Macaca fascicularis: one gene and its partner. The protein of the gene in region 1 binds, or shares a complex with, the protein of each later gene. Links are inferred from orthologs where the notes say so. Each region holds a gene or a part of one and is shown on either strand. Other genes may lie near its edges.

Region 1 (4,815 bases):
ACCCTATTAATGGGCATTTAATTTGCTTCCAGCGTTTTGACACTACAGACAGTACTACAGTGAATGCCCTAGTACTACACGCTCATGTTTAACTGTTTTTCCTATGCGACACAGGTCTAGGAGTAGGATTACTGGGTTCTTTTAATTGTATTAAAAGATAAGGCCGGGGGCAATGGCTCACGCCTGGAATCCCAACACTTTGGGAGGCCGAGGCGGGCAGATCACGAGGTCGGGAGTTCCAGACCAGCCTGGCCAACATGGTGAAACCCCGTCTCTGCACAAATACAAAAATTAGCTGGGCGTGCTGGTGAGGGCCTGTAATCCCAGCTACTCGGGAGGCTGAGGCAGAAAAATCGCTTGAACCCCGGAGGCGGAAGTTCCACTGAGCCGAGATCCCACGACTGCACTCCAGCCAGGGCGACAGATTGAGACTCCGTCTCCAAAAAAAATAAATAAATAAAAATATAAATAAAAGACCACTTTTCCAAAAAGGGCAGAAATTCAAATTTCCATGCATTGCTAACTTGAAAAGATGAAAATTACTATAAACATAACACTAGCAATAAATCTGACAACAATGAAAATAGTTAACTTCAGGCTTAATTGCTAAAGTCACATCAAAACAAAAACTATTCTCTTTAAAACAGTATTAGACATTCAAATGTACAGGACAATTCTGCCCTCACAGACTCAAGTTCATATTCTGTTACACAAACACCTGTGATGAGCACTAAAGGATAAGCTGTACTTGTAGCAATGTTATGTTACCCGTTATCTTTTACACTTTAAGATTGTGGAGAAGTATTTTCTTTCCTATGTTTTTAATATTTAAAACCCAGTAACATTAACCATGCTATTTTTTATTTTTTTTCAGACGGAGTCTCGCTCTTGTTGCCCAGGCTGCAGTGAAATGGCACGATCTCGGCTCACTGCAACCTCTGCCCCCTGGGTTCAAGCGATTCTCCTGCCTCAGCCTCCCTACCAGCTGGGATTACGAGCGCCTGCCACCATTTCCAGCTAATTTTTTGTATTTTTTTAGTAGAGACGGGGTTTCACTACGTTGCCCAGGCGGGTCTCCAACTCCTGACCTCAGGCGATCCACCCACCTCAGCCTCCCAAGGTGCTGGAATTGCAGGCATGAGCCACCACGCCTGGTCTATTTAATTATTTTAAAATCTTTGGGTTTTTTGGGGTGGGGGGGGACGAAGTCTGTCTGTGTCGCCCAGGCTAGAGTGCAGTGGCGTGGTCTCGGCTCACTGCAACCTCCGCCTCCGGGGTTAAAGTGATCCTCCTGCCTCAGCCTTCCGGGTACCTGGGATTACAGGCGTGATGCACCGCGTCCGGCCCAGTTATTTTAAATTTCTTAGCTTAATAAAAATGTTTCGGCCGAGCGTGGTGGCAGGCGCCTGTATTCTCAGCTAATCGGGAGGCGGAGGTTGCAGTGAGCCGAGATAGCGCCATTGCACTCCAGCCCGGGACCACAACAGCGACACTCCGTCTCAAAAAAAAAAAAAGTTTGTCTTCAGAGTTTTCTAATTAGACTAGAATAATATGACAACTCTGCAAATGAGAGTAGAAAACAAACAAAAGGCCCTCTAGCAATAACACTAACCTTGCTGCTTAGCCAAAACTAAGTTGTAAAACAGTCAAAGGCTGCTATCGTACTGTTTTCCAAGGGGTTTTTCGACAGACAATAAATTCCGAATACCTAAAATCATTCTAACAAATGCACAGAACAGGCTTTCAAACCCAACACTAAAGCAAGGTAAACAAATCTTCATACTTGGCACTTCACCGAAATTAGATCCAATTATGGATATATGCCTCAAAAAAACAGCGACTAGCTCATCCTGAATTCATCGGGTTCCTCTCTATTAGCAGTTCTGTGGAGTTAACGCCCAACTCAGCCTTCAGCTGAATTCCAAAACCGTACTTTCCTAAACTTAATCACCACAGAAAAAACATAGCCCTGCTCCACTGGCAGGAGGCAGTGACGCTGCAAGCTTCCAGGCTGTCGTTCATGTTAAATTCCCAATTCACGGGATTAACAGAAACTGTCTACACAACTGCTAGTTATTACCTTCCAAACCCCGAGAGAAAAAAAAGATGGGACTAGGGTAAGAGCCATTACAGGTAAGAAGTCTCCCTTCTCCGTCCAGGGCACGCCAAGAGGGACCACAGTCCTAGAACAGGACCTGTGCTGCTAAGTATCCAGACTTGCCCCAGGCGACCAGTTCCCGGGACAGTAGGAAGGGAACCGTGTCGCCCCGCCCACCCCGAGCCGCTCGGCACCCAGCTCCGCCTCTCTCCAGGAACCGCTGCATGGGACAGAGGCCACCCGCCAGCCTGCCTTGCCCTGGCCGGGCAACTAAAGAGAATCTCGGCGCTCACCGTCGCAACTCTCTCCTCAGCCATCTTGGCTCAGCCCACCACTGCGCGACCGGAAGTCGGCGGTTTCCCAGACAACGAGGCAAGCGGAAGTTGTAGGACTGTGGAGGACGCTGAGGAGCAGGGGAAGGAAGTAAATAGCCGAGTGACCTAAGGAATCGGGGGAGAGTTAGGGTCTGCTCCACAGAAGGCTTACCGCTGAAAGAGTAGGGGAGGGAATGCGCAGCCACTCGCTGCCTTTATCCCGAGAAGCCCCTAACCCCTCTTGTCGTGGTCTGTACATGGTGTGTACCTCCGGCAGCGCTGGCTGGATAGGCCAGCCACCTGGGATGTCAGCCTGTTTCCCCCGCCACCTGGCCGTGCCCTGACTCTAATCTGCATTTAATTCAGTCCTCCTTCCGGGACCCTAGGGCGGAGAATCTCATTCTTGCCTTTGGTACGAAACTCCCCGTTTCTTGGCTATCCCTATGGAATTGAGGTACTCACCTTATCAGCTTCCCACTCTTGTTTACTCCAGAATTTGCAAACACGCTCCCGGTGGGCTCCGTTTGAGCAGCAGTCTTTTGATCGGAAATACTTAAAAGTTAGGAGATTTCGCAAGAAATCGGCCATGGGATAAAGAGACGACAGTCGGCCTGCGTTTCTGCAAGGCAGTGAAATCGATCTGAATGGCGGCTGCGACTGTAGATAAACATTTCTTGGCCTTTTTACCACAGTCTTCCCTTCCTAGCATACTTCAGGCGTTTTCCAGTGCCTGTCTGGCCCCAGGTGCGGTGAATTAAATGTTTAGTGTTTCTAAACCAGGAAAACGTGTGGGCTTTGGAATCAAACATGAGTTCTGGATTTGATTACTGCATGACCTAAGCCCGTCGTTTCTTTGAGCCTCATTTATTAAAGTGCCGGGAGCTGTGTGATGAACAAAACAGAGGATCGCTGCACCTGAGCACTGACTTTAGTCCCAATTCATACTTTTAAGTATCGCCCTTGTAATGTAGACATAAAATCTGCGTCTCCCAATTCGTGAATTGGGAAAGCATTTAAGACAAGTTTCTCCAGGCCTTTAAGAGAAGGAGAGCCCCACTGACTAATAATTACAGTTACGTAGAAGAAACAAGTACGGTAATCTATCCAAACACAAGGGGGAAAGACAGCAATAAAATGACAGCTCTTCTAAGTATTTCAGTAACACTCTCTTAATCTTTATAACAATCCCATGAGACTCTTAGTCTCCCACTTTTTTCAGATAAATACTCTGCTTTTCATTTATTTAAAAAATTTTTTTTGCAGTTTGGCCAGCATGGCGAAACCCCGTCTCTACTAAAAATACAAAAAATTAGTCGGGCATGGTAGTGGGCACCTGTAATCACAGCTACTCGGGAGGAGGCTGAGTCAGGAGAATCACTTGAACCCAGGAGGCAGAGGTTGCAGTGAGCCGAGATCGCACTACAGCTCTCCAGCCTGAGCTATAGAAGGAGACTACGTCTAAAAAAAAATAAAAATAAGAAAAATAAATTGCTGGGCTCAGTGGCTCACGCCTGTAATCCCAGGACTTTGGAAGGCTGAGGTGAGCACATCACCTGAGGTCAGGAGTTCGAGACCAGCCTGGCCAACATGGTGTAACCCCGTCTGTACTAAAAATACAAAAAATTAGCCAGGCGTGGTGGCTGGCTCCTGTAATCCCAGCTACTCGGGAGGCTGAGGCAGGAGAAGTGCTTGAATCCAAGAGGCAGAGGTTGCGGTGAGCCGAGATCGTGCCATTGTACTCCAGCCTGGGCAACAAGAGAAAAACTCTGTCTCAAAAATTTTTTTTCAGAGACAGGGTTCTCACTATGATGTCCAGACTGGACTTGAACTCCTAGGCTCAAGCAATCCTCCTGAGGCAGAAAAATAGGGTCTGGAGGCAGGGAACATAAGGCTGATTCACACTTCAGCTGTTACAGGAAATATTGTGTCCATAGGGCATTGGTCGTAAATGTCTTTGTAACTTTGCTTCATCTCCATTAACATAAGGCATACCCGAAGTAACCGTGGAATCCTCTGGGGGTATTTAAACTCCCCAAAATTCTGTAACAGAGCCCTTGAACTTCCAAGCTCAGGCCCACTGCCACACTGTGGAGTGTACTTTCTTTTTTTTTTTTTTTTTTTTTTTTTTTTTGAGACGGAGTCTCGCTGTGTCACCCAGGCTGGAGTGCAGTGGCCCGATCTCGGCTCACTGCAAGCTCCGCCTCCCGGGTTTACGCCATTCTCCTGCCTCAGCCTCGGAGTAGCTGGGACTACAGGCGCCCCCCACCACGCCCGGCTAGTTTTTTGTATTTTTAGTAGAGACGGGGTTTCACCATGTTAGCCAGGATGGTCTCAATCTCCTGACTTCGTGATCCACCCGCCTCGGCCTCCCAAAGTACTGGGATTACAGGCTTGAGCCACCGC
Region 2 (4,835 bases), on another chromosome or scaffold:
GTAAGCCTAGACACTGCTGGTAGTTACCACGCTGGAGGCAAATACTATACAGTCCACATTTGCAACCTAATTTTGCTTCAGCATCCCCAGAGACTTCGAAAATATTTCTTTGGGTAGGTTGCAAAACAGTGCTTCCTCTTTTATTCTCATCACCCCCATTACGATACAAAGCAACAGACAAGAAAATTAAACAGCCAACTATAAGGGCTTAAACACACACACAAAGCATCTTCTTTCTAGCTCCCGAATCGGTAGTTATCCCACCTGTTTGTAAATCCATAATTCCACAATAACACAAACTGCCTGCTGAAAGAAAGGAGGGAAGAAGAGAAAAACAAAGAAAGAGGAAAAAGAAAGAAAAGAAATAAAGAGAAAGAAAGGCAAATTAATGCTTTGGAGTCATTACTCTTCCACCTAGGCATGGGGGGAGGGGGATGGTACAAAAACAATGGATATTGAGGGGCTGGGGGAAAAAATCGTCTTGCCCCGAAGCCTCTTGTGTTATAAGCCTGGGGGAGTCGGGGGAGAGTGAGACTACTTTTCCTCTCTCCCTAAAAGCTGTGCTATCACGGGGAGAGGTTGCCATCCGGCATGTTCTACGAGGCGGTCTCGAAGGGCTACAACTCGCTTCGCCAGGCAACACACCCAGAGCCGATCCAGCACTCTTCACTCAAAGGGTTTTCAGGGAGAGGAGAACGGGAAAGCAAGGTGGGCTCTAGGGAGGGGGCGCGAAGAGACCCCACCCTGTATGACCGCCGCTGCGCCCGGGCCCTCGCCAACGATTTACACGACTTGGGCGCCCTGCGGACTGGGCCCGGGGCCCCCGGGAACCGAGAAGAGCGAGACTGTCCGCCGGGCGCCCCCGGCCCGCGCCCTCGCGCCGGCTCGCCCTCGCCCAGGCGCTGTCCTGGCCGCCCGCCGCCGCCGCAGGCCCGGCCCCGGCCGCTGTCAGACCCGACCGCCTTCCTCTCCGCGCCGAGCTGCGGGCTCCCACGCGAGCAGGCTCCGAGGGCCCCGCACTCCCGGAGACAGCACCCAGGAAAGCGGCGGCGGCGGCGGCGCCTCCCAGGGCCCCGGCCCCTCGGGCCTCGCCCCGGCGTTGCCGGCTCGCGCCTGTCAGGGCGCGCGGGGCCTCCCCCTACCGACAGCCAGCCCGACAGCCCGACGGACAGGAAGGCAGGCAGGAAGAACCGACCAACAGACACCCTCCGCCTCATCGGCCCCGGGTTACCGTCAGGAGCCCCGACTCCGCCATCCTCCTCGCTCGCCCTGCTTCCTCCTCTTCCTCCTCCTCCTCCTAAGAAGCGACGCTGCCCAACCGCCGCCCCCCGCCCGCCCCTCCCCCACTCGCCCCGCCCCACCCGCCCCTCCACTACTCTCGCTCCAGCCTCCCCGCCCCACCCCTCCGGCGTGGGCCCGTCACTCGCTAGGCAAGAAAAATGGGCGGAGCCGGGGCAAGCGAAGCTGCCCAATCAGAGAAGGGCAGTGGCGCCTGCTTCTCTCTCTCTCCGCCCTTTTCCTTTCCTCAGTTCCTCTACGCCGTCTCCCGCCCACTGGGCGCCGCTGGCTAGCCGGGCTACAGAGTAAGCCTCCTGCAGGGTAGAGTGACAACTCTCCGATCGGAAGTTACTGTTGAAGCTAAGGCGGCCATAACTGATAATGGCAACAGGAGTTTCCTGGCTTCCTGTTTCCAGGGTGACGTAGATTTTTTTCCTTCGCCAGTCTCACCGTTACCCGGGGCAACAGCTGAGCAGTCTGGGAAGGGATGCATCTGTAAGTAAGCCCAAAGAGGTACCGTGGGTGACCAGACATCCCATGTTAGACAAGTTAATTCATACTCTGGACTACACGTCCAGTTTCCCGGCCCTTATTTTACTGAGACATCTGGTCACATACGTAGATGGACTATAGTTTAGGGCTCCGAAAATCCCTCTCCTGCCCGGAAGTTGCATTTGGCACTTCCGAATAGGGTCATGGCGGAAGGGGGTAAGGGGGTAAATAGCCTCGCCGCCCGTGCCCTAGGGAATGCCCATTCTTGACCTCAGTTGCAAAGTGAGGTGAGTCCCTGGGCCCCAACAAGTGGGCCGGACCCGAGCCGGACGGTCCCTGTGGGACGGAGCGCTGAAATGGAGAGCGGGGCTCAGGGCCCCTTCCGTTAGAAGCTGCTTTTCTTTCCGGGCTGGCCTAGCGGCGGCCCGCCCTCCCTCCGCCCCCCTGAGGCTCCCTGTGGGGTGAGGCAGCGCTACAGGCCGCCCTAGCCCAGCCAGAGCCAGGCTGGCTGGGAGGGCCCCAGCGGGGAATGGGCGCGGACCTCGGGCGGAGCTCCTAACTCCGGCAAAATGGAGCTCCTGACCACGCCTCCGCAAGTTCCTATTAAGTACTTTCACTCTCTGGCCTTTAGAGGGAAGAGAATTCGGGAACTTGAGAAAATAATTTTCCACCTTCAGCTATAAAAGAAAAAGATGAGCCCCTACAATCAGGGCAAGACCTCTATCTTTTTCCCCTGCCACCTGCCTTCTCATTCTGAGTTTTCCCCCCTTTCCGCGTTTGTCCTTTGTAAGCTTTGACTGCGGTTCTTGTGGTGGGATATACTATCCTAATCCTGCAGGTCTACAGATTCTTAACGTGTTGAATATTTTTGAAAATGCTGTATTGCTTTAATATGGCCCTTTACAAAGTTATCATACATTATCTTGTAGTTTCTTCTGTATGCTTGAGTCAAGAACTCTCAGTCATCTTGGTAATACCGGGTTGGATGCTTAAAGCTGCAGCAAAAAGACCAGAACTTTCAGGTAAAATTGAAAATTGTTAATATCCAGCCAGTCAACAAAACCTACCTTCTCGACTTAATTTCTACTTCCCTGGTACTTACACGCCAGCCAAAATGAACTACTCTTGTTTCTTGGCGGTTAATTACTGAAATCTGTTGTAGCACTCACCTTTTGTGATTCTGTCTGATTCTGTTATTCGCGGAGATGTGTTTCCAGATTCTCCCCAGCAGAAAGTAATTCCTCTGAGTTTAGCATTTTTTGCACGTCTTTTATGACAATCAGTATGTTATATATATATAATAGCCGCTTATGTTTTTAACTTCACTACCATGTCTGCACCTAAATAGAATGGTTTGTATCAGATTCGTCTTCCTGTCATTTTCACCCTGCACATGATATTATTTTGGTAAATACTTACTGAAAGTTTGAATATCTCGGGTGTCTCTTGGATGCCCAAGACAGTTCCAGCCAAGTTTTAGAGATCTTCAATTTATCAGAAATTCAACTGAGCGCCTGCTACTCAGCCTTTTTTGACGTTTCCCCTGTGAAGTCTTTCTGACATGATTTTTTTCCCCAATGTTTTATTATGAAAGTGTTCATATATTTAAAAGCTGAAAGAATTAAATAATTTAATGAATATTCATATACCCGTCATCTAGATGCAGCAGTTAACATTTTGCCATATTTTTTTCATTCCTCCTCATTTTTTCATTGTTGTAAAAAGTTGCAGACACTTATTGTTAGGCAGACACCCTTAAGACTTTGAGCATGAATTTCCTGAGAATTTTGAAGTTCTCTAGCAAAACACAATATCATTATTACAGCTGTTTTGTAATGTTTAAAATCTAGCCCAAGTGCTAATTTTCCTAATTTACCCAGGAATATCCTTTATACCTTCTCCTTCCCATTCTTGCAAAAAAAAGAAATCAGGATCCAGTCAAAATTTTTCTTCAGCTTTAATGTAGTGGAGTTCCCCCATCTTTTTCCCCCTGTGATATTGGCATTTTGAAGAGTTCAAGCCAGGAGTCTTTTTGGAAATGGGCCCCCCTTTTTTCTTCTTGTAAACCAGAAATTAGTCTAGAGGCTTAAGTTGAACATTTTTTTTTTTTGCAAGGATATGTCACAGTGTTCATACTTTTCCAGTCATGACTAAGCCTTCTCAAACGCCAAGTATACGCACCTTTTCCATGATTTGCTGGTTAAATCCATCTCACTTCTCAGCCTGCTTACCCCTCTCCGGTGTCCTACAAAGAGGAGGGTAGCATTTAATCATGTGTGTATAGAGTATGTGTTAGTGCCTTGGGTTGGCAACATAGACTGACTACCTTTAATAAAGTGTTGCTGCTACTTTGCCTATTCTTGGAGCTGATGCAATGTATTTCTGCAGTAAAGTGTACTGATGTCAGCATAGTTTATGAGTTTCAACTCCTGGCACCCTGCAGACATTGTTGGAAGATGTGTGGGCCCTGCTATTCAAATACAGATGAATCTTGATGTTATCAAAGCAAATACCAAGGCAACTGTTGGCCATCTGGTCACATTCCAATTTAGGCATTGTTATTTTTCTCACTGAAATTCTCATGCAAGTCTTAATTGGTCCTGGTGTTTTTGTGATAGCTTTTTGGTAGCATTAAGCAGAGCCTATTAAAAATTACAAAATCAAGATTATACTTAGTACATTAGATACATCCTCTGTCTAATGGATAGATAAGTGTTTGTGGAATTTACTTCATAATCACAAAAGGAAAATTCTCAAGACTGCCAACCTCATATACTCCTAGCCTAGACTTATATTTGATTATGAAAGATAAGTGAAAGGAAAAAACTGCACATAAGGGAGCGGAAGAAAATGCTCTGGGAGGACAGAATCTCTTAGATTGGTATAGAATGTTTTTAGCCATCATATTGAAAATTACGTAATGCGTTCCATTAGTTGCTTCCTTTGGGTAGAAGGGAATTTGCTTGTGTGGGAATACTCCAGATTTAAGTGAGGCAAAATAATATACCAATTAAGATCACAGGTTTTAGCATCAGACCTGGGTTTCAGGAATAAGACTATTCAAT

What was found. Proteins that work in one complex are often made in the same cells at the same time.
Region 2: the proteins of BBS4 (region 1) and BBIP1 are in contact, whole or in part, in a cryo-EM structure (PDB 6VBV), measured with the Bos taurus proteins. The link is inferred for Macaca fascicularis from reciprocal best matches to the Homo sapiens genes BBS4 and BBIP1. Residues at the interface, in NP_001069424.1 of Bos taurus: Leu210, Leu213, Tyr236, Leu240, Ala241, Ser244, Gln247, Thr248, Ser269, Pro271, Asn274, Asn275, Met278, Phe281, Gly282, Lys284, Tyr298, Leu299, Pro301, Leu302, Asp303, Trp304, Lys305, Ile306, Tyr308, Asn309, Leu312, Leu315, Thr316, Gln318; in XP_003587939.1 of Bos taurus: Met7, Phe8, Arg9, Glu10, Val11, Leu12, Pro13, Lys14, Gln15, Gly16, Gln17, Leu18, Tyr19, Val20, Glu21, Asp22, Leu28, Lys30, Pro31.

What each region holds. Positions count from the first base shown.
Region 1 is NC_088381.1:49,571,598-49,576,412, reverse strand, and holds the start of BBS4 (BBSome complex member BBS4), read right to left. Parts: upstream 3,229-4,815; 5' UTR 3,001-3,228; coding exon 2,875-3,000; intron 2,437-2,874; exon of another isoform or gene 2,416-2,436; coding exon of another isoform or gene 2,392-2,415; exon of another isoform or gene 2,129-2,391; coding exon of another isoform or gene 2,081-2,128; intron 1-2,080.
Region 2 is NC_088383.1:120,004,605-120,009,439, reverse strand, and holds the start of BBIP1 (BBSome-interacting protein 1), read left to right. Parts: upstream 1-1,700; 5' UTR 1,701-2,057; intron 2,058-2,216; exon of another isoform or gene 2,217-2,377; intron 2,378-2,699; 5' UTR 2,700-2,755; coding exon 2,756-2,792; intron 2,793-2,939; exon of another isoform or gene 2,940-3,110; intron 3,111-3,189; exon of another isoform or gene 3,190-3,382; intron 3,383-3,951; exon of another isoform or gene 3,952-4,015; intron 4,016-4,835. Other genes in the region: uncharacterized protein, read right to left, coding at 265-303, 744-1,138, 1,232-1,255.